Schizosaccharomyces pombe: one gene and its partners. The gene in region 4 interacts genetically with the main gene of each other region. Each region holds a gene or a part of one and is shown on either strand. Other genes may lie near its edges. The genes, in order: dap1, SPOM_SPBC651.04, erj5 and vts1.

What was found.
Region 1: mutations in vts1 (region 4) and dap1 together harm fitness less than expected from each alone (positive genetic interaction), as found in Schizosaccharomyces pombe (one large-scale study listed by BioGRID).
Region 2: mutations in vts1 (region 4) and SPOM_SPBC651.04 together harm fitness more than expected from each alone (negative genetic interaction), as found in Schizosaccharomyces pombe (one large-scale study listed by BioGRID).
Region 3: mutations in vts1 (region 4) and erj5 together harm fitness less than expected from each alone (positive genetic interaction), as found in Schizosaccharomyces pombe (one large-scale study listed by BioGRID).

The regions. Positions count from the first base shown.
Region 1 is NC_003424.3:4,151,757-4,156,820, forward strand, and holds dap1 (cytochrome P450 regulator Dap1), read left to right. Parts: upstream 1-3,703; 5' UTR 3,704-3,716; coding exon 3,717-4,217; 3' UTR 4,218-4,564; downstream 4,565-5,064. Other genes in the region: inositol phoshorylceramide synthase regulatory subunit Kei1, read right to left, coding at 1-589, 679-738; Clr6 and Rpd3L histone deacetylase complex subunit Sds3, read left to right, coding at 4,783-5,064. UniProt on the Schizosaccharomyces pombe protein: Required for sterol biosynthesis. Functions as a positive regulator of cytochrome P450 enzymes erg5 and erg11. Function requires bound heme.
Region 2 is NC_003423.3:1,241,172-1,249,421, forward strand, and holds SPOM_SPBC651.04 (uncharacterized protein), read left to right. Parts: upstream 1-3,598; 5' UTR 3,599-3,675; coding exon 3,676-4,389; 3' UTR 4,390-4,930; coding exon of another isoform or gene 4,931-5,050; 3' UTR 5,051-5,108; coding exon of another isoform or gene 5,109-5,747; 3' UTR 5,748-5,983; downstream 5,984-8,250. Other genes in the region: nit1 (nitrilase superfamily protein), read left to right, coding at 1-63; GTPase-activating protein Gyp10, read right to left, coding at 653-1,774; ESCRT II complex subunit Dot2, read right to left, coding at 4,931-5,050, 5,109-5,747; protein mug166, read left to right, coding at 6,313-7,017; SPOM_SPBC651.07 (uncharacterized protein), read left to right, coding at 7,425-7,435, 7,521-7,750, 7,820-7,902, 7,964-8,250.
Region 3 is NC_003424.3:3,323,534-3,331,603, reverse strand, and holds erj5 (DNAJ domain-containing protein Erj5), read right to left. Parts: upstream 4,735-8,070; 5' UTR 4,707-4,734; coding exon 3,795-4,706; 3' UTR 3,665-3,794; coding exon of another isoform or gene 2,597-3,664; 3' UTR 2,576-2,596; downstream 1-2,575. Other genes in the region: U3 snoRNP-associated protein Rrp9, read right to left, coding at 668-2,242; geranylgeranyltransferase type 1 beta subunit Cwg2, read left to right, coding at 2,597-3,664; mug109 (Rab GTPase binding protein upregulated in meiosis II), read left to right, coding at 5,466-5,957; mns1 (mannosyl-oligosaccharide 1,2-alpha-mannosidase), read left to right, coding at 7,126-8,070.
Region 4 is NC_003423.3:3,037,857-3,048,154, forward strand, and holds vts1 (RNA hairpin-binding protein), read right to left. Parts: upstream 8,155-10,298; 5' UTR 7,911-8,154; coding exon 5,769-7,910; 3' UTR 5,548-5,768; coding exon of another isoform or gene 3,946-5,547; 3' UTR 3,784-3,945; downstream 1-3,783. Other genes in the region: zf-C3HC4 domain-containing and GCN5-like protein cwf24, read left to right, coding at 3,946-5,547; F1-ATPase delta subunit atp16, read left to right, coding at 8,996-9,499; gpi14 (pig-M family mannosyltransferase), read left to right, coding at 10,124-10,298.

The DNA of each region.
Region 1 (5,064 bases), on a different chromosome or scaffold from region 4:
GATTGCGTAAATAAGAACGATTGGCAGCCATAATGTAAGGTTTCATTAGCAAGCGAGTAACCCGGCCAGAAAAATTAGGAGGAAGATTTTGCGGGCGAATTCCCGAATCAACGATAAGTTTATTAGAGTAAGAAAGCGTTATCAAAACAAAATAAAACTTAAGAGAGGCAAAGAAAATAAGAAGCAACAACGAGGGAATGGACTCTGCCTGAAAAAATAGATACAACAAACTTGGTGAAGGATCGGAATCGGCTGATTCTTCAGTACTAGAAGAATCGGATTGAACGAGTTTCGAAAACCAAGAAAGTGCAAATAAAACAGTGAAGAGGACGTTCAAAAGAAAATCAATTAAATACACATAGAAGAGAATTAGTGCATGAGGAACGCTTGATTTGGGGATGTGAATAGCCAACCAAGAAAAAAGAATGAGCATCAAAACCGATGATACATACATGAGAACCTGCCATGGCGACGCGTCGGAGTTTTGAAAAAGGGATACAATGCCGTAAAGACCAGAAACTTTGTTGATGATAGCAAACCATATGATAATCTCGCAACCAACACGAAGACTACAAAACCCGAGGAAAGACTAATGAATTAGTACAAATCAAAATAGAAAAGAGCAAATGACAAATACATGATTAAAACATCGAAAAAAGCTGGAAAAAATAGACATACCTTTTGAATAAAGATTTTTTCAAATAAAGCGGACCAATTTGGACGCCGAAACAATGCCATAATGAGAAAGCTTACAATAAACCGAATAATTCAACAGTTAATGACAATAAGGAAAAGAGAGAAGAGAGCTTTAAAAAAAATAACGGAATGAGAAACAGAAAGATTTTAGGTGTTCTACACACAGGAAAGGGATTTACCGGATACAATTAGAAGAAATATTTTACGCAAGTATTAACGGAAACTGCAACCAACATACGCCAGGCACAGAGAAATATTAAAGGTTTATGAATACCAGTTAAGACTTCTTTCGTAAAGAGAAAGTTATTAAAAGGAAAAGACCTACGCACTTAACCCAAATACACGAGATTATCGCCCTTTTTCTCTTTCTTGTTAGCGTAGGCTTTTAAAGTGTAATAAGTGAAGCGGGAAAAAGAGAAAGAGAAAAGGAATAGGATTACAATGTAAAAAATCGAAAATTCAACACTTTCTAAAACTTTTCTCCAGCCTCAGTGTTAAGATTGTTTCGTTTCTAGAATGGGCTAATCGCTTGTTGATGGACCGGGCAATTAGAGAAACAGCGAGGGCATTGCTTTTTATGTGGTAGTAGAATGGTAATCATCGTAAATTGCTTATACAACATCCGGTTTGCTGCGCTAAACTAAATAACGAAAAGGAATATAACAACAGTAAATGATCTGGTGACTTCGGGGGTTGGGTTGGAGTAGGCTAAAAACGTAATAGATCGGTGTTATTAAAGGATTCAAGAAAGCATTGAATGTGTAGCAGCATATTCTTTTAATTATTTGTAAGATATTTTTTTTGATTTCATGAAAGAATACTGGAGATTTGATTCACGACTGTGGATGATGTTTACATATACTATTAAACATTGATTAATTTTGTAGACTAAAAACAGTAAACAACGTTATCAGCTTCAAAAAGTTTTTAAATTTGAATTAATAATTTTTTTATCTTAATAAATAAAGCTATACTACCAAAATTCTTCAATAATAAAAAAACCCTCAATCACCTACTACCGTCCTTTAATTACACTCTTCATCGGCTTCACTTCCTCGCCGAATCTTTGTTTACTTGTACCATCGGTGTTTATTGATTTTATTCGGCAAAATAATTCATCAAAGAAGAAGGGCAACACTTGTATGATTTCTTGGTATGACTGTACATTGGAGGAAATAATGACTGACCTGTTTTTCTTCTTTTTTTTTTTTTTTTTTTTTTTAAAAATTACCGGTCTTACGATACATTCACATCTACCGCTTGACAACAGCTGCAAATTTCATTACACTTGGATATGTAAGATGGTCAATAAAATCAAACGATTTTCTTAGGCTAGTCAAGTCATACTTACACAACAAATTGTCAAGAAAAATTACCAACCATCATCATATAGACACTGTATATAAGCCTTCGGTGAATATTTACACTAAACTAGCCGAACAATTTTTCCATAAGAAATATTATTTTATATTCAATTTAATCTTACAGCTCCTGTAAATAGCCGATCGTTCAAGTATATTTTGTATATTTATTTACTCGATTAATGGTATTTGTTTACTTTAATAATTATTATTAACGGAGATAAAAAGGTTCCTTTCTACTACTAGTCAAATACATAAGCTTCTTTAACAAAAACAAACCCTCGATTATGTAGAACAATGCTTGCTGCTATATTCTATAGTCCATCAGCATGAGCGTTATTTCTGATTCATAATGGTTTACCGAGAGAATTAATGGTAGCAAAATGACCTTGGATTTCAGGAGAGCCGATTCCGAATAGTTGGGATCTTGTTTGCTAAATCGAATGCTTAATTCTAGTAACTAATCCCATAACGACTGTTAGATTATCAGAATTTTCTTATTCTGTTCATTCGCTTCAGGTTAGGTTAATGTGACTGCTTCGTAGTACCGGATGGAAATAATAAAGGTTGCATTTTCCTTAGTTTATAGCCTACCCAACGCACACAAGTCAAATTGCTTGCAAAAGAAATTTCCACGTTTGCAAGTGCCAATGATTGTGCGAAGACTATTGCCTCTTTTGGCATGTAGTCATCTTAGTACTCTTTACTGCATTCTTCAACTTTGTGAAATTGCAGTGAGTCGGTAGGCTACAACATATTAATGTAGTTGCTAGGTAGCTTTATAGGATGAACGTGATTAGCTTGATGATATAAACTAAGACTTGTTTTACCATATTTAAATAAAACTTTGATATCAATCGATAATTCTACTGAAACGGAAATAATGTTGGAGAGTAGTGAGATACTAGTTGGTAATCTAGCACACAAAGCAAGTAAACTAGTTGGTTTAAAAAAAGGATAAATTTAAATCGTAATGATACTGATATATTGCTAGTTATATATAAAGCACTTTTAATCATAGTCTTGAAAGGTTTGCATTTTGTACGAGTGGAAGCATACTATTTCAAATGATATAGGCATGCGTTCGACTCATGCTGCTACCATGATGAACACGAGCCAGAAGGCTCAATATTCTATTAAACCCAGCTCTTTGAACCAATAGTTGTGAAACGAGAAACAAGTTCTGAACAGCAGTTTGTTTAAACATTGTTCGTGTATGCCTGGATAACTATGCTGTTGAGAAATTTTGTTTTTTTTACTAAAAAAATGTCGTGCGACTACGATTTCTCGCTTTGTTGAATAAATCAAAACACCATTACGCAGACTATACATGCATAAAGAGTATTGTAACCTTTTGTAAGATTCTTGTCATAGTAAATAAGATATGCTATGTTCCATTCTGTGCGTATATATGAGCAACATAATCATTGATATATAATTACATAACTAACCAAAATTTTTAACTTATGCTTTATTACAGTGCCTTTTAAACAGTTTATGTGTGCAGAAAACGAGACTGCAATAAACATATTCTCTATAACCGTCCGTATATAGTAATGTACCATGGTAACAAAACTATCGTACGTATTCTTCTAAGCAGGTAGTGCGAAGGTTTTGAGAGAATCATGCGACCAGTTGATTCTTCCATAAACCAACACCATGGCATCTACACAAGTTGTTTTTATAGTAACCTTATTTCTTTATTTGCTAATCACTCGCTGGAGAAGGAAGAATGAGAAATCTTTTATTGCAAGCGAAGAGCCAAAACAGCCCGAATGGAGAGATTATACTCCAGCAGAACTGAAGGAATATAATGGCTCCAAAAATTCATTGGTTTTTCTTGCTATCAAGGGAACTGTGTACAACGTTACAATGGGATCAAAATTTTATGGTCCACAAGGCCCTTATAGTGCTTTTGCCGGTCATGATGCCAGTCGTGGTTTAGCAAAAAATAGTTTTGACGATGAATTTATTCCTGATTCAGATGCAGAAGAATTGGATGATTGCAGTGATTTAAACGATGAGGAGAGGCAGGCTCTAAACGATTGGAAAGCATTTTTTGACCAAAAATATCAAGCTGTTGGCAGGCTGATAAGTCCCAGAGAGGCCAGAGCAGCAGCTACTATTTCAGAAACCGAAGAAAAAGTTGCGCATAATTAATAGCGACAAACCTGTTTTTTATGACTTCTTTCATGCTTATGGGTTTATGATCTTTTCTTTGGGATAATCTAGGACAAGTGGTATACGTTCCGCGTCCGAAGGATCAATCTGTAGTATTTGGGTACATTTGATGATGTGTTATGAAATTACTAGAAGCATGATTGCTTTCAAAAATTATCTTGCATGAAATAGAGGCTCTTAAGCAATGTTGAAAAAAGTCCTTGTAGCAGTAATTTTGGTGCCTTGATAAGGTTACGATAGCATCTTTTAAAAAACATTGTATGTCATTTCCATGTTTTTTTTTGACAATGAAAACTTAATAACCATCTGTGTCTTCTATTTTGTTGTAACATATATAAATGGTAGTAGATGTATGATCCATTTTGAAGAATTATTGTAAACCGTTGTTCATCTGATAATTATTAGCACAACTTTTCTCGTTTAGATAACTTTATTTCGTATTCGGAGAATCTTACCCTTACCCTTAAAATCCTTCGTCAGTAGCTGGAAGAAGGACAAAATTGTTTTGTCACGAACAAATAGGTGGTAAAAGAGTTAAAGCGTCATGGACGTCCTTTCGAGAGTCTTTGACAATGAAAAAGAAGAACTGGATCCTTTATTGAACAATCCACTTACAGCTAGTGAGTTCCGAGCCAAAAAAGCAGAACTGGAAGCTGAATTGGAATCTATTCGTAACGGAACTTGTAAAACTCTTTTAGATTTGGCAGATGAACTTAGAAGGAGTAGAGATGAGGAATTGGAAATTGCAGAGCGTTGGAGAACGTTTTTGGTGAATCGGGCACAAGAGGAATACGAAGTGGAGATGAAAGCAGCCAAGGAGGAGTAC
Region 2 (8,250 bases), 1.8 Mb from region 4:
GTTGACCATGTACGAACTTATATTCCACTATTACGTAGAAACGATTTATACCCGACCATTTAGCACTGTTATACAAACTGAGGTGATTTCAATTTAAATTAAAGAGAAAATTTTTTTTCGGCTTGTTTACGAAGTATTCATTATTACTTACGGATTTGCAAGATTAAAGCCTGAATACTATGAAAATAAATTTGCGACAATTAAATAATTCCATAAAACCGTAAATTACTGAGCGCTCGATATAGTAAACATAATAGAATCGAAGTGGAATGCAAAAAGTAAGTACTTATTTTATTAATTAATGCATAATTTATATATGTATAACGATTAGGCATCATATAGGAAAAGTGCAATACACAGACAAAAAGAAGAAAAATTAAAAAAAATAAAAAGAAATAGACTTCTTACAATAAAGCATGAAAAATCATTAATGACTGCACCTTCAGAATCACTTTGATTCAAAAGTGTTGTTTTGTGATTAGAAAAAAAGTTAAAATAAAAAACAAAATATAGTCCCTGCGGAAACCCCCCGAACATTCTTTCCCATGCGTGGAAAGAATAACCGTATTATAGTAGTATTTGGAATATAAATTAAAGGACCCTATTCAATTTAGGATCTTGCATGAATTAGTAATATTAAACGATTAAAATACTAAGAATTGGATGTGGACTTTGGAATAAGTTGAGATGCGACAATACCGATGCCTATTACAGTAATGGCCGCAAGCATGTTGCAACCATTGAATATGTTTTCTTGAAGAAAAACAGCAGGAACCTTGGTGCCAGGCTTGTGTTTTTCTTCCTGCAATTCAGCGAGTTGAAGTCGAAATAAAAGCAATCCATTGGATCGAGACATATATTCCCAAGGATCGCCAGTATTACGAAGACAACTGTACGGAGAAATTTGGTATCGGTCCAAGGGTAGAGAAGAAAAGGGTACTGCTGATATAGTTGCACAGGTATTTTTAATTAGTTGATTTACGTTAATAGACGCCGGAAGTTTGCACAAATAGCTATGCAATAAATCAGCACCAGAATTATCCCATAAAAGCTCAATAATGGAAGTACGGTTATCAAGCACAACCTGAGCACACGTGTACACGACGGTAAGAGGATGAGAAGAGATGAAGAAGTCAAATAACCTGCATACCACCGAAATGTCTGAAACATCGTGTGCAAACCAAGTGATTAACCATGAAAGAGCAAAATAACACTGGATATCTGCCTTTATTAAATACTCATAAAGAGTGGGATCGCGAGCCTTGATAACTGCTAAAATTAGCTGCAATTGTTTCACCGTGCCATCAAGGGTAGGAAGCATAAAGTCCCGAAGACGGTAAAATACTAGATGCTCCATTAAAGGGAGAGCATGAGAGAAAGGAAGGGTAAGAAGCAAGATCTGGGCAATATCATGAAGACCTTGATAGTAGCATAGTTCCGGATAATGCTTAAAGACTACACTGAGCAGCTTGGTCAATTGAGAACGGTGTTTACGAAGTAGAAATGGATTCAACTTGTACTGAAAGAATGATCGTTCCGAATCCAAATGAACCTGATTCTGGTCGGCATAAGAAGACTGAGAAGTAGATCTCGAAAGACACTCCATTCGATGTCGACACGATAAACCACAAAGACTGACCCATACAGACTTGCGCAGACTCTTCATGAGGAAGCCATGTCCTTCTTTGCCAATGTGGGAAAGTGTTTCGACATCAGAGTTCAATAATGCAATTTTGATTTCATTTTTTAGTTGTTTTATCTCCTTCTTCTTCATCTCATGAGCGAAATCGCCACTTCCCTTAAGGGAGAAATATTTGAAGAAGAATATTTTTGAAATTTTGAACTGAAAACTAAATCACACTTTGCTTAGGAATCCTGAAATCCTTTAATCTCAGGCCTTTACTTTTTCATAAATAGCTAAATTTTTCTTTAATAAAATATCTCGTTTGGCATCTAAAACACCGTTTTATAAAGGATCAAAAAAGTTGGGCGCAGTTAGTGGTCTGTGGGTTGATGTACGTACCCACTTAAATGGGAAAAAAAAAATCAGAAGATGAAAAGGAACACAATGAACAACTGCGCCGAACACCCTCTCGACAACCTTAATAAAAGAAGATCTTTAACAACTTTAAAAAGAAAGAAAGAAAGTAAATTTAAAATTTTATAAAAATTCTTAAACGAAGCATTTTTACGGTTTTTTTTTTTTTTTCGAATATCGTTAGTATTATTACTATACCATCTCCTTATGAAATTTTTTTTTGCTAGTTAATATATGATGGCGAAGTAAAGTAGAAGGGCTTTTATAAATAGCTGTAAAGTTCAACAGCATGTGTGTCAACTCATAAGGAGAGACTTCCATCAAATCAAACAAGAAGAACTTTCTTTATTTCTTCTCTTTTCTTCTTTTCTTTTTTTCAAATTAAGGAAAGAATATCAGTATGCACTGCCGAAATCGTTATGTTACTATTAGATGGTGGATTGTACAAATAATAAAATTAATATCCGTATGAATATTTGACAAATGAAACAGTTCCCTGCTGTAGATCCTGCGGGTTTGTTTAGCTGTCATTGTAAAACGATTGCGGATAAATCTTCTTTACTTTCCCACCAAATAATGCTATATCCAAAGTATCAAAAGTTTTGTGCGGGTAAGTCGTTAAAATAACACCATTCCTCCAAAAAAATAAATAAATATAATATAAAAAATAAAACGAACCCCTTCAAACGAGGGAGAATACTCTCCTGAAGATGAACGAATTTTGAAAAATTTTTCTTATTTTTTAATTAAAATCTATTTAATGGTATTTGCTGAAAACTCGATTTGACCCCAAGCAAATGTTGAGACATTCATGTAAAAGAAATTATTACGAAAAAGAAAAAAATAAGCGATGACTTAAAACCATCAGTAATGAATCCACATGTTAAAGTAGCGAATACTTAAGCTTGATAAAAAGAATACCTAATTCTAATATAATCCTAGTAGGAAATATTAATATAAATTTTTGAGGTGGCTCTTTTATTGAAGTATCGCTTCATTTTGTATTAGTTAAAATAGGCAATACATCAATCTATTTAGCTTTTAGATTAAAACTACATATTGTTATATTTCAAAAATCCGTGCTTAATTCAGTTGGGCTTACTATAATATTAAACAGATAGTTTCTGGATTTATTTTGAGTGGAATGGCTTGTTTCAGATAGAAAGGATATGATTTGAGAAGTGTGAAGTTAAGAATTTACTGCTTTTGTCTTAAAAAGCATACTCAAACTTGCTGAAACATATTTAGGTCTGTATTCATGATGAATCTTAGTTTTCCCAATTTATTTCTCATCATCTACCAGCTAAACCCAGCAATCTGAGTGAAAAGGTATCTTCATTAAAAACCTATAATCGTGAAAATCATATTGGAATGTTCTAACATTTATCAAACAACATCCTTTCTGTTTACAGCGAGGTTTCTTGTGTTGATTTTGCTACTTTAGATAAGTCAGATCAAGGTAACATATTTGTGGGTCAGCGATCTGATAACTACAGATGGCTGGTATTCGAATTTTCGTTTGGATTAGCAAATTTGCTGCTTAGACCTATCTTTCCTCTTACCGCCTCTCCGTATACATTGTACATCCCATCTTTCATCGAAAGCTTTTGAGTATATAGACAGGCAAAGAGCTTTGAATGAGTTCCGCTGAACTCGGAAAGCTACATATTTATGCCTCTCCTGAACAATGGGAGAAGTGGAGTCCCCGTTGGAAAAGTATCGTTTTTCGAACGCAATATGAATCGATTTTCAAAAATCCGAAACACCATGGGGAGAAAAAACCTTTTCATTGCCTCTTCAAACTCGCTGGAACTATGAAGAGTATCTCTTTATCGCATTTGGATATTCCAGAGCATCGCATGAGCAATGCAGTAGCTTTTCCTATCACTACTTCTACAACCCCTATGCAATTAGATGTCACCTTACAATTTCGTGGGCACAAAATTCCTCTTGTAGTCGGAGAAGCTAGTGTTTCCTTGGAAGATATTTTCACTCATGGAACTGTTGAAAGCGTAATACCTTTATTTATGAAAAAAAGGCATCCCGAGGCATATCTTAGGATCAAACTCGTTTATACGAGGAGTAAAAGAAAGAGCGCCAGGAAACACAAAGTTCCTTCTTCCTTTCATCGATTTTCTGGTCGACGTGGTCTTGGTATACATTACAACCATTCTGGTTCTCAGAGCAGCTTAATAACTTTACCTTTACCTCAAAAGCAGCCTGATTTTTTACGTATGAATAACGATACTAATGAGCTAAAAACAAATGGGTTTGAGCCTATTCGGTTTGTATTTACCACTACTCCTTATTCACCTGCTTCCTTTGAGGTACCAAAGACCCTTAAAACTTAAAAAATGATTGTTTTCTTCCAAGGAATTTCCCTTACTAATTAATTTTGTTTCCATTTTCCAAGGTCCATACAACTTTGCGTCTTGCTGTTTAATATGACCTCCGATTCTATTCTATTTTATTATATTATTATTATTCTTAAATTATTGTTGTGTTGTTTATCACTACTTCCCGTTATTTCGAGCTCTTCTCTTCTTCTTCTCCTTCTTATACCTGTACATATTATCTTTTCCAGTTTCATACTTTATGTCTCTCCTTTTTTCGGTTTTCGTGCTTCAGTTTCTTTTACTTCTTAATTCTTCTAAACCCAAACTTTTTTCTCAAACATATATACATATATATATATATTACATATTACGTTTTCTTCATCGAATTCAAAGTTTTATTCTTCATTAGTTTGACTTTTATCACAGCGTTACTAGATGCTTTTACGAATTAATATATAGACTGGCAAAATTAAGCGTAGGGTTGACTATCTATGAACGGTTGTAAACAAGCAGGTCAACCTCCCCCAAAATTCTAGGTAGTCTTGATAAAAAGGCATTAGAAATTTTCGTATAAAAACCTTTGCGCCTGGTCGTCGATAAGATTGCTTGCACCCCAATAGGCCATCTCCACCCCCTGGGAGTCAATCCAGAGTAATGATTTTGAAACTAAATCATTCTAAATTATTTGGTTAGTCGCAAATGTTTTGAGATATTTTTATAATTTAACTGCGTACCAATACTTGAATGCATCTGCTACGCTCCCAAGCGTAATTGTCCCGTAAAATAGATATTGTTACATAGCCCAATATCTCTACAGCCTCTAAAACAACATTTTGGTCGGTGTTGAGCTCTAAAGGAAGGGACCGGATATACTGTTTACCTGCAATTTTTTCAAGAACAAAGCCAGGGCCAAGTGGGGCCAAACTATCGACAGCTCGAACAACGTCAGTCTCTCTTAACCATTCATGACCAAAGGCTTCATTTTCTTCATTTAAAAAACGACAAACTTGGCTGACCGATAAGAGGCCTCCATTCTCCATTTGAGTAGCATAACAGACTTCGATTACTCGTACAGCGACCTGATAATAGAATTCGTTCATGCCCACGGCCGCCCAAGCTGACTCATCAGAACCACTAACAAATGGATCTAAACCAATTTTCAAAGCTAACTTAACAAATGTATTTCGAAATTGAGAGTTTTGTTTTATCTCAGTGGCATGTTCTCTCGCAAACGTCTTCAGCGCTTCCTGAAACGTCGAGAGTTGAGATGCAATTTCATCGGACTGCTGTTCAATAAGTTCATTTCCTACTTCTTCATACTGTTTTAGATATTCATCGTCGTTCAAAGCTCCAATTCCAATTCTTTTACGCATCGGCCCAACCGAACATTGCTTGTTTCAAGCGCACAATCTTTATGATCGAGGCTTTTAATTAACAAGTAATTTCGAAAAAATATCAACAACAACGTAATTGACCAGTTTCTACAATTATTCGCGAATAATAGTCCTCTTCCAAGATCACAGGAGTTGTGTAGAAGAGCAATAACAACCTGCTTAGGAGAATAAACCATCCATTAATTATAACAATAGTAAACTAACTAGCTCATGAAAAGAATGTAACTAACAGGAGCGTTACATTTCATTATCTAGTATACCAAGTTATTTCCTGCTATATTAGTAAACTATCTTAAATTAGAATATCGTATAGCAGCGCATATTCAGTTTTTTAACGCACTTAACTGGACTTCCTTATAAAGTTGTTTATCACATTGTTTAGCTGCGGTATTTTCTTGATTATAGACTGGTACCACCACCAATAGTGACTAAGTGTAGGCCAGAGATTATTTGGTGCTAAAACCAACTACTTCTTGGGACTCTGCGAGGCTCGAGTAATTTCAATCGTTTTTTTTTATTTACTCACATTCAGGGTGCTTTGAAGATGCCAAGGAGAGCTGTACTTTTCCGTGGCAATTCATTCATTTCGTTTTCGTCAATTTCCTCAGGAAACGAGAGTAGCGCCCATGGGGATGCTTCACTTGGACAAGCAGATAAACCCTTAACTGTCGACGTTTTAGATGCTTGGACCACTCAATTCACAAAAAAGCAGACCAGGGTCTTTCATGAGGCATATGTAAGCGCTTATATCGATTTGCAACAAAAATACGCTCGACTTGAACGACTTCAGGAGCAGATCCTTAATTTGGAAAGATCGCTGTTAAATTATAAATCTTTAAAAAGTAACTCTACCACAACGGTGGCGACAGTTCCCTCCGAAAAACGATATTTCTTCCGCCGCAAACCAAAAACTTCTTCAACTACTAATTCTCTCTCTTCTTCTTCTTCTAGTGTCTCGCATATGAATCAAGATGCTAACCCCAATAGCACCGTATTGACCTTTACTGCTGTTCCTTACGATTCTTGTTTACCTGCACCAGACCGACACACTCCCTCTAGTGCATCGTCTAGGGCGAGTGAAACGGGTACCACAAGCCCACAAAGTATGAGGAACCAAATTAGCCTTCTTTACTCAAAAGTCGATCAAGTCAAAACTGAAATTGCTTCGGCACAAGCTGTTATGCATGATTTGTTGCGCACTTATCCTGGCAGTGAAAGTTTGCAACAATCTACTCATACTCAATTTTGATGCCCCTACACAAACAAAAACTCTCTCTATTTTTAGTTTTCTGTTTTATCTGCGTTTTCTCTTGAAATGAATATTTTTTGTTAAGTTGTATTTTAGAGAATTCGATTATCGATGGATGTCCATTGATGAATCGATCGAAAGAGTCCCATGAGACTTTTTCTTTAATTGTTTTACCCTTTAATAACTTGGAAGCATTCACCAATATATATTTGTTATCGTCTTTTCCATCGAATCTTCTGTAATTCACCTCTTTACCTTTTTCCAGCAAGCCTTGAACTTTCGTTACTTGGGTCGTTACTTTATACTGATGTCCTCTAAATTAATTTCGATCCACTTACTTCCCCATCTCTTTCAACATTTACACTTTCTGACTATAGTAAGTGTTTAATTGTAAAAGAGGTTACTCCATGATTGTAATGTACGTTCCTCAATAAATGTTGCTGTACGGACATTGCCGTAACAAATTCAGTCAGTCAGATATATTTTTCTAACTAAAATTGAAGTGAGCCGACAATACTTTACGAAGCTGCTGCTTTATACACCCGTTATACTGCAAATGGAGGCGATTCTAACGACGTTGTCGCGTTATTAGTAGGACCGATCGTTCAGACATTATCTATACCTTCTTCAACATCTAGTGCACCGCTTGTCACTTCAGTTCGGGAGATTCTTGAGCTTGCTTGCAATGATGCTGTGCTCGACAAGTCGTTTCTCAATGAAAGATTAGAACACTGTATGATCAATAAGCATCACTTCGCTTATGCGCGCTAAGCATCATTTTGCTAATCCGTAAACCAAATAGGCAAACTTCAAGATTTTCCTTTAGTGGGATGTTTAGTTTTGGGAAACAGAGTGGATCATAGGGTTCGTTCAATTGCTCATCAGGTACGGTACAATGCTACTTCGTAACCAGTTCTTTGAATTATTTTGTTAACGCTTATACTAGTTACAAGAAGCTACCGCCTTTCCCTATCTTATGCTTTTCCCATCCAATTTTGACTTGACGCAATTGAAGTTGTTCCGTCTCCCCGATTTTAATAATAAGGATCAGTTTTGGAAAGAAGAATGGTCGACAGAACAATATGAGATTGCTGAAAATCCATCTGGTTATGCTTCTGCTCTTCACACATTAACTCAATTAGATGATGGAAGTGAAACCAACGCTATTAATGTTTCAACTCAAAAGTTTGCCATCCAAAAACTTCAATCTTGTGCGATGCGAGTTAGAGAGCA
Region 3 (8,070 bases), on a different chromosome or scaffold from region 4:
ACTTTTCATGCAAAGATACATGTATTTCATTTTTGACGAGTCTAGGAGAATTCCAAAGAACGACTTTTTTAAAAGGTCTATACTCCATTAAAGAATCTATAAGATACTAAAAACTAAAAAAAGGGCTTTTGATTACCATTATTAAGACAAGTAATATTGAGGACAATTTGGGGCAAGAGGTAAACAAAGTGATAGCAAGAACTAGTAAAACTTAATAGGATTTTAACAATACTCATAAACAAAACTTCGGTTTAACGATTTTGATATTTTCATTTTGCTTCAATAATTTCATTATGCACCATTTCAATGCACGGCATTTGATGAAGAAGAAAGTTCATTCGTTTATTACAAACTATTTCATCCTTCTTTTTCTTTTTTCAATTTATAAAACATTTAAAGAACCCAAATAGAAAAGCCCGAATTGAAAGACATGGTTCATCATTGTTCGTTTTAATAATCAATTTCATTTTTGTATATTTTTTCCTAATAAATCCGTATTTTATCTAAACTTTTAAATTAAATCCAACCCAAAATTCCGTTCCATGAATTAAAATTTTTTGTACACCAGGAAAAGATAAACACAGTAATAAGAGATCCATCACATCTGCTTCATAACCGCTTATATGAAAAATAATGAAAAGCTAAGTTCTTTTATTTTGCAACTTTACTACTCATCAATCTCGTCACCATCTGTAACAGAAGGAATAACCGTTAAAGGGATATTAAACACGAAGCCTGAATTAGGGATGCCCCGCAAGGTTTTCCAACGACCAACGCGAGTTTCTCTTCCGCAAGCAGCGAATACTCTTACCTCTGATTGTTTACCTTTTCCTTGCAAAGAAAGTGAAAGGGAATTGATGCAGCCATAAACTGACAACGGAGTAGCGATTGTTAAAGGTTCAAAAGAACGAAGGCCTTCCGCTATCTTCCATAAACGGATGTTTCCGTCCCAAGAACCAGAAGCAAATAGATTGGAGTATGGGATAGCAGCCAAACTAGTGATCCATCGAGGTTGAGGAGGTATAGTGACAGGATCTGGAGACGTCTCAGCGGAATGACGCCCAGGAGCTAGAATGGGATCTAGTCCATGAGCAAGTGGGTATGTAAAAAGAGGCTTCTTACGTTGAACAGACCAAAGTGCAATAACTCCATTATCGCTTCCAGTAACGAAATGGTCTTCATCAATCATTGCCACACAATCCACACTACCTTCCATATAGCCTGCAGTTGCTTTCATAGAAGTACCTCCACTACGAAATACCAGTTGAGACTCCTCAACAATTTTCCACAGACGCGATGTCCGATCTCTACCACCTACACTGACACATCTTTCCCGAGCTAATGCATCCACTCCAAAAATAACATCCTGATGTCCAAATAGCGTTTCAATATAAGACATTTGATCCAAAGACCATACCTTGATGGATCGATCAGCGGAACAACTAAACATTTCATTGGTTCCTCTTCGCATGGCTAATCCCATTACTGCGTCCCGATGATGTTTCCAACAATGTTGAGGCTCAAGTGTCACACTATCACGAATGACAATTCGATGGTCCAAACCTCCAGTAACGATCCAACGACCATCGTTGCTAATTGCTAGGCAAGTGATTTCTTTTACATGATCGTTCTCTCCTCTTCGGCTGCGAGAGAATTTGATCGGTCTGAAGTGCAATTTTATAGCTTTCCCAATTTCATGATCGTCATTTTCCCTATTTTCAGTATCTTTTTCTTGCAAAGCTTCCCATTTTTGGATCAAACCCGATTTATCAGCACTATAAACAAAATTTTCGTATGCTACCACTCCAACTAGCGGACGCATGTGACGGCCTCGCAGCTGAGCTGTTTCGATTTTTACATCAGGATTAATTTTAGAAGTATAGTCTAAATACATTTGTCCCTTCTTTTCTAATACGTCCTCCTTCAATCGACTTGCAAGCAATTCACGATCCACTTCTTTCGCATCGAAACCTCCATCTTCGACCAGTTCGTTCTTGACCTCGTCTAGATACTCCCTTGCTAATCGAAGCCTTTTTTCTGCTGCAGTCTCATAAGTATCTTCATTTTCCTCATCAATTTCGTCCTCAAAGCCATTGAATTCGGATTCTGATGATATAGATGCTAAATCTTCATTAGCGGGTCCATTCCTCTCCAATTTTTGATTCTCTTTTTCTCTTTTTGAAGTAGCACTCCTAGCTTTCCTCTTTCTATGCTCTGGACGTGTAAAGAAAGGATCAGACATGCTTTCTCTAAGGGTACCAACGGTTCGTAAATTTCTGTATCTTCAAACACCTATATGGTATACTGCCGGTGACTTAATTTTATTCTCCGAGCATACTCCACAAAAAGTCCGGTGATCCATACAAGAAATTTCCGAAGTTTACCGAGCTAATTCACCGAATTTCTTTTCATGAACAAATCATTACAGAAATATATCTGCTCATTACTATAAATCAAAATACCTTGTCGCGTTTTTTTGTTTTTAAGCTTAAAATAATTATCGTTCTTGTACCAATTTTGTTCGATAGATTTTTAAGACTTACTATTCTATTGACATCTATAGAATTCTGCTATCGGCGCATCTATTTATGGTCCAATGGAATTAACAAGAGCTAAACATATTGCTTTCTTTAAGAGACATCTTATACTATTTCCTACTCCATACGAAGAACACGATTGCGAAAGAACAGTGTTAGCATTCTTTTGTTTATTAGGATTAGACTTGCTAAATGCATTGAACACCATAGATGATGACGATAAAAAAAGTTGGATCGAGTGGATCTACAAAAACTATGTAACGAAAGAATCTAAAGGAATCAAATACTCCGGTTTTCAGGCGTATAGAACTGGCATTCAACCCATCTCATTCGAACAGGAGCCGCAATTAGCTGGGACTGTGTTTTCAATTTGTTGCCTTTTATTTCTTGGCGATAATCTTTCTCGTATCGACCGCGATTTAATTAAGAATTTTGTGGAGTTGTGCAAAACTTCGCAGGGTCATTTTAGAAGTATTGCTGTGCCATCATGTTCGGACCAAGACATGCGACAGTTATATATGGCTACGACTATTGCTTCGCTTCTTGATTTCTCTCTGTCTGACCCTTTATGTTCTATCCAATATATTAAAAGCTGTCAACGCTATGAAGGCGGATTTTCTTTGTTACCATACGGCGAAGCCCATGCTGGAGCTACATTTTGCGCGTTAGCATCATGGTCTTTAATATTGAAAATGATTCCAAATTCCTCTTTGAATACTTCTAATCAATCATATAACTTAATGGATTGTGTGCCTAAAGTAGAACGCCTTATCAGATGGTTAGCTTCTAGACAATTATCATCTGGAGGATTAAACGGAAGGACGAATAAAGACGTTGACACCTGTTATGCTTATTGGGTTTTGAGTTCATTAAAACTCCTTGATGCTCTGCCTTTTATCGATGGGGGTGAGTTGGAAAAATATTTATTATTGCATGCTCAACATGCTTTGGGCGGATTTTCTAAAACACCAGGTGAGTTTCCTGATGTTTTACATTCTGCACTTGGTCTATATGCAATGGCTTATCAAGATGATAAGTCTTTTCCTAAAGTAAATGCAGATATACATATGACTTCCAAGTATATAAACATTTGTAGAGACTGTATTCAAGCAGCCAAGGGGAAATGATAACTATATTATGATGATGAATTGTCGAAGAAAACTAAACAATAGACTATTAACTTAGAAACAACGTGATCAATCACTTGACTATAAAAACCTAAAGACACTCTAACAATATAAATTTGACTCAGTAACTTTAATTTTCTCTATTCGTGTTTTTAGAAAGTGGAATTCGATTTGCTCGTCTTTTCATTCGTCGCTTTCCGGCTTTTATGGAAGCCTCTTTCTTCGAAGGACTGGAGAAGCTAGATTTATGGACACTATCACTTTTCTCTTCATCTTCCATCTGTCCATCACTATCCGTATCTTCGGACGATGCAGGTGCTCTTGCAAACCAGCGTCCAAAGGCGTTCCAAACTATAAATCGGGGAAGACGGTAGAAAAAGGTGTCAGATATTTTAACGCTTGCAACGGAATCTGGTGAAACTAGATATTCTATATTGGAACTGGGATCCAAAATACACACTTGACCAGTTATGGAATCGACTGTATATATACGCCTTCCACCGGGTACTTGTACAATACGCTTTGAACCTCTGGCGGAAGTTGCATAAGACTCGTGTTGTCTAGCAATGTCTATATGATCCTGCATGATTTTCTTTTGCCGCTTTGAACTGATTACGAGCATAACGAAGTGTGCGATGGAAATGAGAAGAAACAACAAGACGAGCACAGCACCTAAACCAGGGCGATATCTTGAATAAAGATAACCCGTTCCCTTCCATCTTGGAAATCCATTTTTAAGGAAATAGTCATAACGTTTACGCGTTTCAGTGTTGCGAAGAATGTTTACGATCAGCCCTAAAAGCGTATACAATTCTTTACTTTTTGGATTCTTATCTGGATGATAAAGGATGCTCTTCTTTCTGTACGCTCTATTGATTTCTTTAATAGAGGCTTTTGTAGGCACTTCGAGTAGCTCATAAAACGTGGCCTTATTCTTCAAAATTGACTTTAAAGAATCAACAACTCGAAAAATTTCAAGGTCGGAAGAGGTCCACGCTAAGCAGACTCCAAATAAAAGCAGTAAAATAAAAATTCTGCTCATTTCCGCTCTATTTTGCAACCCGAAGGTTAGGTTCTTGGGTGATACGCGTTCGCTAACCTATTTAAACAAACGCTGAATAACGAAGTATCAGTATTTTTATCTTTCGAAGGCTGGTATTAAAACAAGGTTGGGTAAGAAAAAAATTACGATTTTAAGGGTATTTATAATTTTATTATTTTTTTTCTTTTTTTTATTTCCGTCTATGAAATTACGCTCTCTTGTGTGAGGAAAGGTACAACCAAAGTTGCTCAAGAAATTTTATGGAACGATTTTTTGAAAGAACTTAACATTGACGGGAAATGGCACTAGCGTAGCTATGTTTTAACAGAAAAATTATTATGCTAACACGTTTCTCGTGTTTTATTTCTAGATACAGACTATGAAAGCGTTGGTGGTGATGGGCAAATAGGAACCAGATCCGGCGACGCCAGTACAGCTTGTAATTCTCTCTTAATTATTTTTTTGTTCATATTTCTCTGAAATTTCTAATTTTTGTTTTGCATTTCGAATACCTGCAATTAGGCACCGGTGGACTAGTTATCCTTGAAGAGTAAATGGTTTCAAATTATTTTGAACAAATTTTGTTTGCGACCATACTATTATATTTACCTTATGTTTTTTCATATGATTTTGATTAATGTGAATTGAATCTACGAAAAGTTGTTTACGGTAGCGATTAGAGAATGTAAACAAACCATCGATGGGCGCCATTACTGGAGGAGCCAAAACGTTTCCCATTTCCACACATCAATCTTCCTGATGATGAAGTTAGAAAATAAATTACACCGAGTGCTATGTTCATTGCACCAGAATTCCATATCCACTCATAAAACATATGTTGCGGTAGCAGCGCAAGATGAATATGTACGAATGGGAAAGGTCTCTTTACCTCGTATGTATGCTGTTAAACCCAGAATACAAAAGAATTTTCAAGACAATTATAGATTCTATGGAACTTTGCTTTGTATTTGCTGGCTTTATTTCTTCATCTGGTACCCATTTGCTTTGTTAGCTCTAATGGTTGGTGTTTTTCTAAGTTTTGTTATGCATGGCTTGGGAAGCTTGACCATTAATCAAAATATAAGATTAGATCCCAAGTATTCCATCCCTGGTGTTTGTGCTGTCACTCTGATCGTTATTATGTTTCTCGCTCCAGTAGGACGGTTGTTTTGGTCATTCTGTATCGTGTCAAGCTTTGCTGGGTTACATTGTTTATTGACTACTTATGAGAATCCAGCGGGTATATTGTGATTTTCCACCAAGTGCCTACTTTTTATGAATACAAAATTCACTGTAAGCCGTTAGACTTAATGCTGTGCAAATCCACAGGATGCTTTTCTTCACTCATTCCTTTATAAGTTTTTCTACGATCATCTACTTAAACTTTGAGCATTTTCTTTACGGGAAACAAGAAGTTGATAAAACGTATCGAGGTTTCAGCTTTTAATCAGCACTGATACCCTACTTAACATTGTAGGTGTAAGCTGGAAGAAACGATAAAAATGTTATATTTTTTCCCAAGGACTATATATACGTATTTGTAAATAGTTCTTTTTCAGAAGGAGTGTTTTGAGCATGCAATCAACATAGTTAAATCAATTTACACATAAACACGTAGGTGAGCAGCCTTATTCTTCTACCAATGCTTCAAGTTTAAGTCACTAAATGGATTATAGAATAAGTACATCTTTAAAAAATGCTTAAGTTTTAATGATTATTTCGAGCTTCGAACCTGTAGATTTTAGAATGCGATGGTCATAATTGAAAATCAACAAGCACTTTTGTTTAATTCATAGGTTATATAATGTCTACCCAGAAGTTCAGGATTGAGAATATTTGGGAATTTTTAGATTGACATCTGAGGAATCTACATAGACAAACAAACATACGTAGACCAAAGGTTGAGAAGCTCTTATTGTACGAATAAGTAAAAAAAGAAAATTTAATTTTAGATATTTTTACAAACTTCGATTTAGATGTTTTGTTTGATGGTTAGGGTTGATTCACAAGAATGCACTTTTGTATTACTGGCATGGATTCGCTAACCTCTGCCAACTACTGCTTCTTTGCTAATTCAAGATCGGTTTTTAGATCTTGATAAGCGAATACGTAAAAATATAGCTAATTCATTAAGTAAAATTATGTTCATTTTCTGACTGAACATTCTTGTGAACGATTATCTTTATATTTGTGTGCAAGCTTCGATTTTGACGGAAAACAGGTAGATTTGAAAGAACTTCGATTTTATCATTTACCCCTTGTCAAAACTTTTGAAAATTTGAGAAAAAACTGATTGTTTTCTTGACCGCAGTCATTTAATTCACAAGTTCTGATGCTTAAATATTGTGGTTAACTTATCCTGTTATTTTATTATATTATATCGATTTTAAATTTCTTATTCTTTCTATTTTTTTTAATAATGGTTAAACGAAGGACTGTCAAATACTTTCTTCGTCGAATTTTGGCACTCTTTGTATTATGCGTTCCAATATATTATTTATACACGACTGTCCAACGACCTCCTGGTTATACCAAACTTAAAGGCTCCACGAGAAGAAAAGCGCTGATTAAGAAAACATTCATAGAAAGCTGGACAGACTATGAAACTTATGGCTGGGGTAAAGATGAATACTATCCTATTATTAAACGTGGACGGAATTACCTTAGGAAGGGCATGGGCTGGATGATTATTGATTCCCTTGATACAATGATGATTATGGGCCTTGATGAACAAGTTTTACGTGCTCGTGAATGGGTTAATAATTCTCTTACTTGGAACCAAGATGACGAAGAAGTTAGTGTTTTTGAAACTACTATTCGTATATTGGGAGGACTCCTTTCTTCTTATCACTTGTCTCAAGACAAACTATACCTAGACCGCGCAGTGGACCTAGCTGATCGTTTGCTAGCTGCTTATAATACCTCCACGGGCTTACCTAGATCAAATGTAAACCTAGGAACTCGTAAATCTAGAAAAAGAACTAGAGAGTATTTCGTAAGCACTGCTGAATCCGGAACTGTTCAGATGGAGCTACGTTATTTATCCTATCTTACTGGCGATCCTAAATATTGGATAACGGCTGACAAGACAATGGAGGTGTTGCTAGGAGATGCTACTTGGTCTCATACTGGCTTGGTTCCTATTACGGTAAATTTGATTACAGGCGCCTACGTTGGTCGAAATATTCGACTGGGTTCTCACGGTGATTCCTACTATGAGTATTTACTGAAACAAGATCTTCAATTATTTTCAAGTGGTACAGTATATAGGAAAGCGTTCGATTTGAGTGTTGATGGAATTATTGAATATCTCCTTAATTATACTACTCCTAATCACTTTGCCTACATAGCGGAACTTCCCGGT
Region 4 (10,298 bases):
GTTGTTGCGATGTTTGTGATATTCGTAAGAAAAAGAGTTGACTCTAAAAACTACTTACTGTGTCTTTAAGGGAAACACGTTCACGTGTTTCGTTCTTCTTATATTTATTAATCTAATCCTAATGAATTAGGATGGAGAAAGAAGATAAATCATTTGGTATTGGAATGTTGGATTACAATAGGGAAAACCCAGAGTCTTCTGGCCATAGCAGAGTGGCAGTTATTCGAAAACAGAAAACTGAACAGGAAAATAATAACTTGAGCTGGGAAGATAGGCATTACATACCAGACCTCCATAAGTCAAATAAAATCAAAACGCCAACTTCTCTTGCTGATGAGAAAAAATCCCACAATGAGTTGGATCCCAAAGCTCAGATTAAAAAGCTCATGGAAACCAGATCAGGAGGGACTTATATCCCTCCGGCAAAACTTAAGGCTTTACAAGCACAATTAACTGATGTAAATACTCCCGAGTATCAAAGGATGCAATGGGAAGCCCTTAAAAAGTCCATCAACGGATTAATTAATAAGGTTAATAAAAGCAATATTAGAGATATAATTCCAGAGCTCTTTCAAGAAAATATAATTAGAGGTCGTGCTTTATATTGCCGCAGCATTATGAAAGCTCAGGCTGCCTCGTTACCTTTCACCCCAATCTATGCTGCTATGACAGCGGTTATAAATACAAAATTTCCGCAAATAGGTGAATTACTATTAACTCGTTTGATTGTACAATTCCGAAAGTCATTTCAAAGGAATGACAAATCCATGTGTATCTCATCTTCTTCATTTATCGCACATCTTATTAATCAAAAAATAGCACACGAAATTGTGGGCTTACAGATTCTTGCTGTTCTTTTGGAGAGACCTACCAATGATTCTATAGAAATAGCCGTTATGCTTCTACGAGAAATTGGAGCCTACCTAGCTGAAGTTTCCACTAGGGCTTATAATGGTGTGTTTGAAAGATTTCGTACTATTTTACATGAAGGCCAGTTGGAACGCCGTACGCAATTTATTATTGAAGTTTTGTTCCAAACACGTAAGGACAAGTTTAAAAATAACCCCACAATTCCCCAAGAGTTGGATCTTGTTGAGGAAGAAGACCAAATTACGCATTATATCAGTTTAGATGATAACCTTGATGTCCAAGAGTCATTGGGTATTTTTCACTATGATCCCGACTACGAAGAGAATGAGAAAAAATACGATGCTATAAAACATGAAATATTGGGTGAAGAGGATGACGACGAAAACGAAGAAGATGAAGAAGATAGTGAAGAAACGAGTGAATCTGAAGAGGACGAATCGGTGAATGATGAAAAACCTCAGGTTATAGATCAAACAAATGCTAGTCTTGTCAATTTACGGAAGTCTATCTACTTAACAATTATGTCTTCTGTAGATTTTGAGGAATGTTGTCATAAATTACTAAAAATTGATCTTCCCGAGGGTCAGGAAATTGAACTCTGCAATATGGTTATTGAGTGTAACAGTCAAGAACGCACATATGCGAAATTTTACGGTTTAATAGGTGAGCGATTTTGCAAACTATCGCGGACTTGGCGATCTACGTATGAGCAATGTTTTAAAAACTACTACGAAACTATACATCGATACGAAACTAATAGATTGAGGAATATCGCATTATTTTTTGCCAACCTCTTGAGTACTGACTCAATTGGTTGGGAAGTATATGACTGTGTACGTCTTACCGAAGACGATACCACAGCTTCTTCTCGAATATTTTTAAAAATAATGTTTCAGGAAATAGTGGAAGCTTTAGGTCTTAAGAGCTTGGTAGAAAGATTACACGATCCTAATTTAGTGCCTTACTTACATGGCTTGTTTCCAGTCGATGAAGCTCGTAACGTTCGTTTCTCTATCAATTACTTTACTTCTATTGGTTTGGGTGCATTAACTGAAGAAATGAGAGAGTACCTCCTTACCATGCCCAAAAGCGAGCCAAAGGAGCAAGATAGCGAAGGTTATAGCTCTGGATCCGAGACAGGATCAACATATAGTTCCTCTTATTCTTCCACATACTCACGTGGGAGATCATATTCTCGGTCAACTCGGTCATACTCGAAAAGCCGTTCTTATTCTCGCTCCCGCAGTGTAACCCCTATCAATAATATAAATCATAAAAAATACATTAGAAAAGATAGAGAATTATCTCCTCGTGGGAGAGAACGGTCATCAAACCGTAACTCTTATTCTGATCTTTCCAGGTCATCATCATTGTCAAGGGGTCGCTCACGCTCTTACACGCCGGAGGGAAGATTAATTGAATCTGAAGATAAGGGTTATCGTTCTCGTTCTTCTTCACCTGCTTCACGTAAGTATCGCTCGCGCCAACGTTATAGACGTTCATACGCTGGTTCTACAAGCAGAGGCAGGTCCTTTTCTCGCTCACCCTCCTACAGAAGAAGGTTGAGTATGTCATGTTCAGTTTCATACTCTAGATCTCCGTCTCCGCTGCACGCCCTATTTCTCGCTCTCCTGCTAGGAATAAAAGATCTTATGACTCTTTATCATACAACCGTCAATATTCACCAAAGGTATCTAGAAAAAGGTCTAATGAATCTAGGTCACCTTCACCTTACACTCTCCGGAAGCAAAAAACATACCACTTGAATAAGAGGAACGAAGACTTTGTTGTGAAGATGGATAAAAAAGGTTCTGAATCACCTGTCATATTGGCACCATGGTTGCGTGAGGTTGATGATGGCGAACTTTATAAAGACAGGAACAGTGAATCAGATAGTGTTCGTAAACAACCAAGGGCTGATTAAGAGTGATTAATGGTTCATCTTCAAAATGCAAATTGTTAAATGTGATGTCTTACTCTTGTCGTTTTTAAAAACCTAACGTTTGGAATTTTATCCATTGAACTTTTGCTTAACTCAAAATAGTTTTGTACCATAATGAATTATAATAAAAGTTGAGACACGCTATGAGTTTGTATAATTTCCTACTAAACTTTATTCGATTTCAATTCTGTAAGCATACGCTATTTGCATTATAGGTCTGAGACCATGATTGTTTGATGTGATATAATTCATAAGCCGTTGAAACAGTACTTAGTAGCTTGTTCATCAATATTGCAGATTGCAAAATAATTAGAGTTGGATGATAAATGATAATGAATTAAACAAGAATGTAAATTAGATCGTCGTAGCAACGGCCTCTTCATGTTAACAATTTCTAGTAAATGGCAATGCTCTATACGTTTAAATTGAAAATAACACCCCCATATCTCAGCCTTTTCTCATAATCTCCATAAAATAAAATAAAAATAAATATGAAAAAATCTCTAGATGTGTTTATGAAGTACCGCTAAGCAATAAATTAAAGGGAACGCTGTGCAAACACGTATTACATTGAAGGCTGTATATATATGTTTAGATTGAAAATATTAGTCATTACTATAGTAATTAAATTATTAAGACTGATTACTGTCACAAAAAGAGAACTATACATTCTTAATAGAACTCAACGTTTGTTTTGTGCCTCGTTATACTATATAATCTTAAAAAGTAAATATAAATACCTATATATTATTAAAAAATATATCTACCTGAATATTACTAAAGCCCAGATTCGGTGGCCACGTATTTAGCTTAGCAGCTTTCTAAAATTTATATATTTGCATTTCACTACAAACTTCTTCTATTTTTGTTGTTTTATTTTATTTATTTAAGGGGACACACGTTTCACAATTTTGAGCAAACAGCAAGCGCTAATATTGATTCTACTAGATATCAGAATTTTTGAAGCACTTGTTTGGGAACTGTTTTAGTGACTATTAATTGTTTAAACTATTATAGTGGTTCTATCTTGGAATTTAAATAGGGTCTCAATTAAAGAAGAATTGACGACGTTTCTATCTTGAATTTGATTTTTCAAGTGTCTTGGTCATTAAATTATCTTTGCCATACATCCAATGGAACAAAAAAATTTAAATATCAATCAGGCTTCAGGTTCAAAAATCAATACCGAATTAGCTGTTCCAATTTTTCAAAGCCGTCGGAGACATCGCCCCAGACAAGGACTGAAGCGTAAAAAAGGATTCAAACGAGATGATGACTCTGGAGGCAGCAGTGAATCATCAAATGAAGATATGCGGGACAATATTCCAATTGTTTCGGGAAGAAAAAAAACCGTTCGCTTAAATCGATTGCAAAGAGAATCCGAGCAATTCGAGAACTCTGCTTTGAAAGATATAAATGTTGAATATCAGTCAAATCTAAGCGCTACTGGTGAGTCCGTTAATACTACAACTGTTTCGGCTATCAACGAAGATACGAGAGAGGTCATTTTAGGTCGACCTTCTCCGAAGTTAGCTAATCAGTCTACTCTTCCTACTGAGTTATTCCAGTCACAAAACGATTACTCTAGATTTTTGCCTAAAAGGAAAGATTTTGAGAAAAAAAGCCAAGTAGGGCCAGTTTTATCTTCCAATGCTTCTACTGTCCGTATGAATACAATTATTGACTACCAACCCGATGTTTGTAAAGATTATAAGCTCACTGGGTATTGCGGTTATGGAGATACTTGTAAATTTTTGCATATGCGAGAGGATTACAAAGCTGGATGGCAACTTGATAGAGAATGGGATTCAGTCCAGGAAAAATACAAAAAAGGAGCTAAATTGGAAGAAGGGATGGTAAAAAATGAGAAAAAAGAGGATATACCTTTCGTCTGTTTAATTTGTAAAAAGGATTACCGAAGTCCTATTGCTACCACTTGTGGTCACCATTTTTGTGAACAGTGTGCCATAACTAGATATCGTAAAACACCGACATGCATCCAGTGTGGTGCAGATACTAAAGGTTTGTTTTCTGTTGACAAAAATTTTGATCGGCTTTTGAAAAATAGAAAATCAAAGAATGACGAGGCGGTCAAGCAAAAGGTTGGTGGTTTCGAAAGTAATAATTCCGCAACTACAGAAGTTTCGGAACGTAAAGATCGTGAAGCTTCATTTCAAGGGTTTGCAGATACGTTGGCAAAACCAAATACATCGGCTCAACAAAAAATGCCTAGTTTAGGTGATAATTCAAATACAATTATTTCAAAGTATTTTATAAGAGAGATTACTGAATCCAATATAGTCCATTTCAAACGCCTCGTTCGTGTCGTTTTAGAGGCTTCTTATAGTGACAAATTCTACCGCCTAGTTCTCAAAAATCCAGATTACGCCCGCATTGCAACATTCGAAGACAAATTCGTTGGAGCCATTAGCAGCCTTGTTGCAGAAGATAATTCACTTTACGTAACAGTCTTATGTGTTCTTGCCCCTTACAGATGTCTGGGAATTGGAAGCTTATTAATTGATCACGTCAAAAAAACTGCCATAAACAATAATATAGACAGAATTTCTCTTCATGTACAAACAACAAACGAATCAGTTATTAAATGGTATACTGCTCATGGATTTAAGATTGTTAAGCAAATCAATGATTTTTACCGAAGGCTAGAAAACAAATCAGCTTTTTATATGGTGTGCCCGTTAAGTGCTCATAATAATATAATTTCAAATCACTAAAATTCACTTATATGTTTATATTACAAAAGCGATGTCAAAGACAGTTTGTAAAATTGGTTTAAGCTTTTAATATTTGATTAGTCCACCTTTTGGCTTAAAATAAACAACAGAAATCCTCAAGCAATGAAAAAAGTATTGTCAAATATAGCGTAAAGATAAGTGTCACTAGATGTGAAACAAAAATATCTAGTTCAGTGTCATTAGTTAATGATAAAAAACTCTCAGTCCATTGATGAACTAGAAACATCCTGTTTAGTTGAATTCGAGCTTATTTCGTTAGACATGCTCCCACTTGGAAGATCCTCCGAGTCAGTATGACCTTTGAAGCTCGTTAAAGACTCCGAACTTTGGTTTTTCGCCGCTTTTAAATTTTCATTCATTTTTTTTGAAGATACTAGCGGTGCAACTTCCTGAAAACTTTTCAACAGTTTACGACGAGCACCCAGTGCCATGATGCCTCGATTTTGCAAATCGAGATCACTTAACGAAACCAAAGCATCCCAATCCGTATCCTTTAAATTATTGGTATACTTGTGTAGGCGCAAACTTCTGAGCCAGCTCGGAATATCTTGCGGAAGCTCATTACCAACATGCTTGTCTGTGTTTTTAGAATGTGAAATCGATTTTCTGGTTTTATTAGATCCCCGTGAGCTTCTACGGTATGTTTGGTTCTTTGAATTATTGGGTGGAGTCTCTATTTTTTCAACTGAACTAAACGGTTGATAAGTGTAAGGAAGGGTGCAAAGGTGCATTCCTACGGGTGTCGAGATATTAGAATTAGGATCTATAGGATTCGTTAAAATCGTATTGGTAGCATGCATCTGTTGAGGTAAACCAGAACCAATTTCGTAATGATAGGGCTGAAAGGGAGGAGTTGAATTGAAATTGTTCAAGCAAAAACCACTTCGTCTCCTATCAATTTCAGAACCATGAATCAACGAGGGTAATGTAACCGGAGTAGTCGAATGTGGAAGTTCGTTGAAATAATGTTGACGATTCAACGGCGTCGATGGTTGCCCAGTTGATTTCTCAACACGAGCATTGACTACAGAATTTAGGTCATTAGCAGAAGGTACGTGCTCAAAACGAAGGGAAGATGATAAAAACGGTTTACCTTCTGTAATGCTAGATCTTCCTTCAGTTCGAGTTCGAGGTCCGATTTGGTTATTACGGTAAAACAGATAAGGCTTATCGCCTAAAGGGCGAGACTTTGGAGAATGGTTTAATAATTCAGGAGGAGGTGGTGGTGGAGGCGGAGAATAAGATATATTACTCCATCTCGAACGAGAAGACTCATCATTCAAATGTGGTGAAAATCCAAGTGGAAAAAAAGGAGCAGGAGGAGCTGAAAAAGCTCCTCTATCACGAGAATCCCAAATATTATTATGAGGAGTTTCAAAAAAAGATGTATTAGGTTTTGATGGTGTTGAATTTGACGGTAAAGACTTTTTAGATGCAGCTATTAAAAGATCAGTGGTCTTGGATGTTTTGCCGGTGGAATTGCTGGTTAAAGAAGATGTTACATTAGCATTAATTGAAGTCCCATTATTAGAAGGGGTAGGAGTATTCCGAGGACTCGTAGAAGCAGAAGAGGCAGGCGGCTCAATGGAGGAAAATGCTAAAGCCTTAGAAAGGCAATTTTTGGAAGATGCCTCACGATCCTGCGTGAGGTAAGTAGATGATACTGAAGATGTACGAACAGGAATTGGCGAAGCCGTAGAAAGAGCGTTAGAAAAGCCATGCTTTGAAGAAAATGCAGGTCCCTGGGTGGACGCGGGAGTCACCATGTTCAAATTTCCAGACAAGTTGGATTTTGTGGTCAATGAAGGAAGTGAACTTGAAAGGGAAGGTGAGTCACCTTTAGGGGACGAAGGGAGAGATTTGTCTAAAGATAAGCCAGAGTTTGAAGGAGAGGACGTAAGGCTAGACGACAGAAGTGTAGATATTTCTTGAGAAGGAAGGTGATGCAAAAGAGTCCGTAAGGTCGTCAGTCGATCTTGGAGACTTAAGGATTGAAACCAGCTTTCAAGAGTTTTCAGACGAGTCAAAAAGGATATACCAGGCTTATCAGCTCCTAAATACTCATCGAAATGTTCCGATATTGAATCTTCATTCTCTTCGGATAGAAGCTTACCGGCAACTTCTTGAGCATTTTTTAAGGTTTCGTTAGTAGACATTTCTCCAGTCGACAGATTAGAAGTGTTTAATTCTTGCTTCAATTTATCTATGGTCCTACTATTTAAAAATCGCGTAGGATAGTTTTTACCATCTACCAACGAGACAGCTATAGTTTGTTTTTGACGTGAAGATGGAGAATCAACAACGTCAAGGCACGTCTTCCGTCTTCCTTCAACCACTTCCATCTAAATCAGGCAGTATAGATTTTGAAATGAAAAATGGTCGATAAAAGAAGATAAAAGTTGAAAAAGTAGTTGATCCTAATGAACCTAAGTTCCCCCTCTAAACTAACTCCTTATAATCAAATCTGCCTCGCTGAATCTTCAAATTGATGAGTAAAAACAAATGATAAAAGGAGATCCCTAGGAATTTAAAAACGACCAGCGTCGAAGCAGGGATCTTTGTTTTGAAAAATGACTACTAGTTGGTGGAAGGAGGAAAGACGGATAAATGTTAGTTCGGGGTCCGCTATATTTAGCGATATGCAAGCCAGTATGCCAAAAAAATAGTTGATTTTACACTTGTTTGCAGAAAATGTTAGTTCTTTCAGATATTCTTGTTTACTGAATTGCATAAAATATACTATGTTTACTCAGACATCTAAATTGGTCTTCTCTTATTTTCTTACTCACGATTACCACTTCAGCAAATGGCTTCGTAATGAATCTACACGTGCAGATGCTATGTTTGCTTTGTAATTCGTTGTCCAATAAACTGAAACATGTTTATATTTGCTTTATATTTACAAAATCAGGTAAATGTTGTAAACTGTATCTACATGTCTATATATTCAAATCAAAAGATTATTACCAAGTAACTTAGCCATTGTACAAAGCATTCAATAAATAAATATATCCGGAAGATTCAACTTGGTGATTTTTTCGCGGATTTACATTGTAGTATATAAACAACTTGTTATTTAATAATACAAAGAATGACTTACTTTTGAGGAAAAGAAGAAGCCTATTTTTCTAATGTAATCATTCATCTTTATGGAATTAAGAAAGTTATCCACTTTCCTGTACTTTACGAGTTGCTTTAAAATTCATGAACTTAAACTGTTGGCACATCACTTAATCATTTATTGTACAACTTGAAGAATTTTTTTACTTTTAAAAAAGTATAGAATATATTTGTTAATCGTAATTTCTTTAAAATACTACTCGTAGAACTATTTGACAGCATTCACTTTTCCGCATAGTTATTCCCACAGTCAGCGAAGCAGCATCACACCCCCCTTAACCCACTCAATACTCCGAACAACAACATTATGTTTCGTTTATCAAATTACATGCTGAGAAAATCACAATTTCCTCAAGGTTTAGTACGTGCTCCTTTTGGAATTCGTGGTTATGCCCAAGCTGTTCAGAAAAATGAAAAATTAGTACTTTCCATGGCATTGCCATACCAAACCATCTATGAGAAGGTTCCTGTAACTCAGGTCGACATCCCTGCGGAAGATGGCGAGATGGGTATCCTTAAAGATCATGTTCCCATGATTCAGTGTCTTAAGCCAGGAGTTATTTCTGTTACTGATGAATCCAGCAACAAATCAAAATATTTCATTTCTGGAGGATTTGCGGTACAACAGCCTTCTAATGAACTTTCTATCACCGTTCCTGAAGCTTATAAACTTGAAGACTTTTCTTCTTCTGTCGCAAATCAACTTCTTGAAAAGCACAAAGCTGAGATGAATTCTTCTGATGAGGGGGTTGCTGCCGAGGCGGCGGTTCGAGTCAGTGTTTTGGAATCCCTCGTTCGCGCTTTAAAATAAGCTAGCAATATTTCTAGTTGGCTGCTGATTTTACAGTTGTGTACATGAAAGTAAACAGGTTATGTTGTGATTCCTTCATAGTGTACACTCTTTTTCGAAAGAACGAAGTTTATAAGTTTGGGGATTTATTACTAGTGTCTTTTCTCAACTGATATCAATAGGTTTTGTTCCAACATATGTTTTTAGCTTCAATCCCAATCCCATCTCTGATTACGAATACATTTAACAGCAAATACAATTATTTTTTTTTCGATGGAAATTATGTTTTTCAATTATACTCAATGATTACATATTGTGTAATGTATTTTACCAGTAGATTTAAAGCGGTGTTTTTCATGCACCGATTGCAAAGTTTTGTCATAGTCATTAGCAATTTTGGCGACTACATGTGAATACAAAAATCTCTATCACAATTTATTTTACAATAAAAGAAGCTGAAAACCCTTAAAAGCCGAAAATTGTTATCTCAATCCAATAACGACTCAAAATTGCATTAACTCTGCTATTGACTTTATTTACTACCCACGCCGTAGCGCACTTTATTTAGTACCAAACATATTGCATGCATGTTGACTTTCCGTATGCTTTTAGTGCATAAAATTCGAAAATCATCAATCACATATAATGATTACATTCCTTGAAGTATTTGTTTACTTCTATTTCTTCCCGCTGTTAGTCTTCATCACATTGCAGTATCCACGATGGACGTTTAATAAATGGAAAGCTTTACTACCAGTATCTGCCTATATTTCTTTTTACTTCATTATAATATCCTCTTTTTCTACTCACTTAAATATTT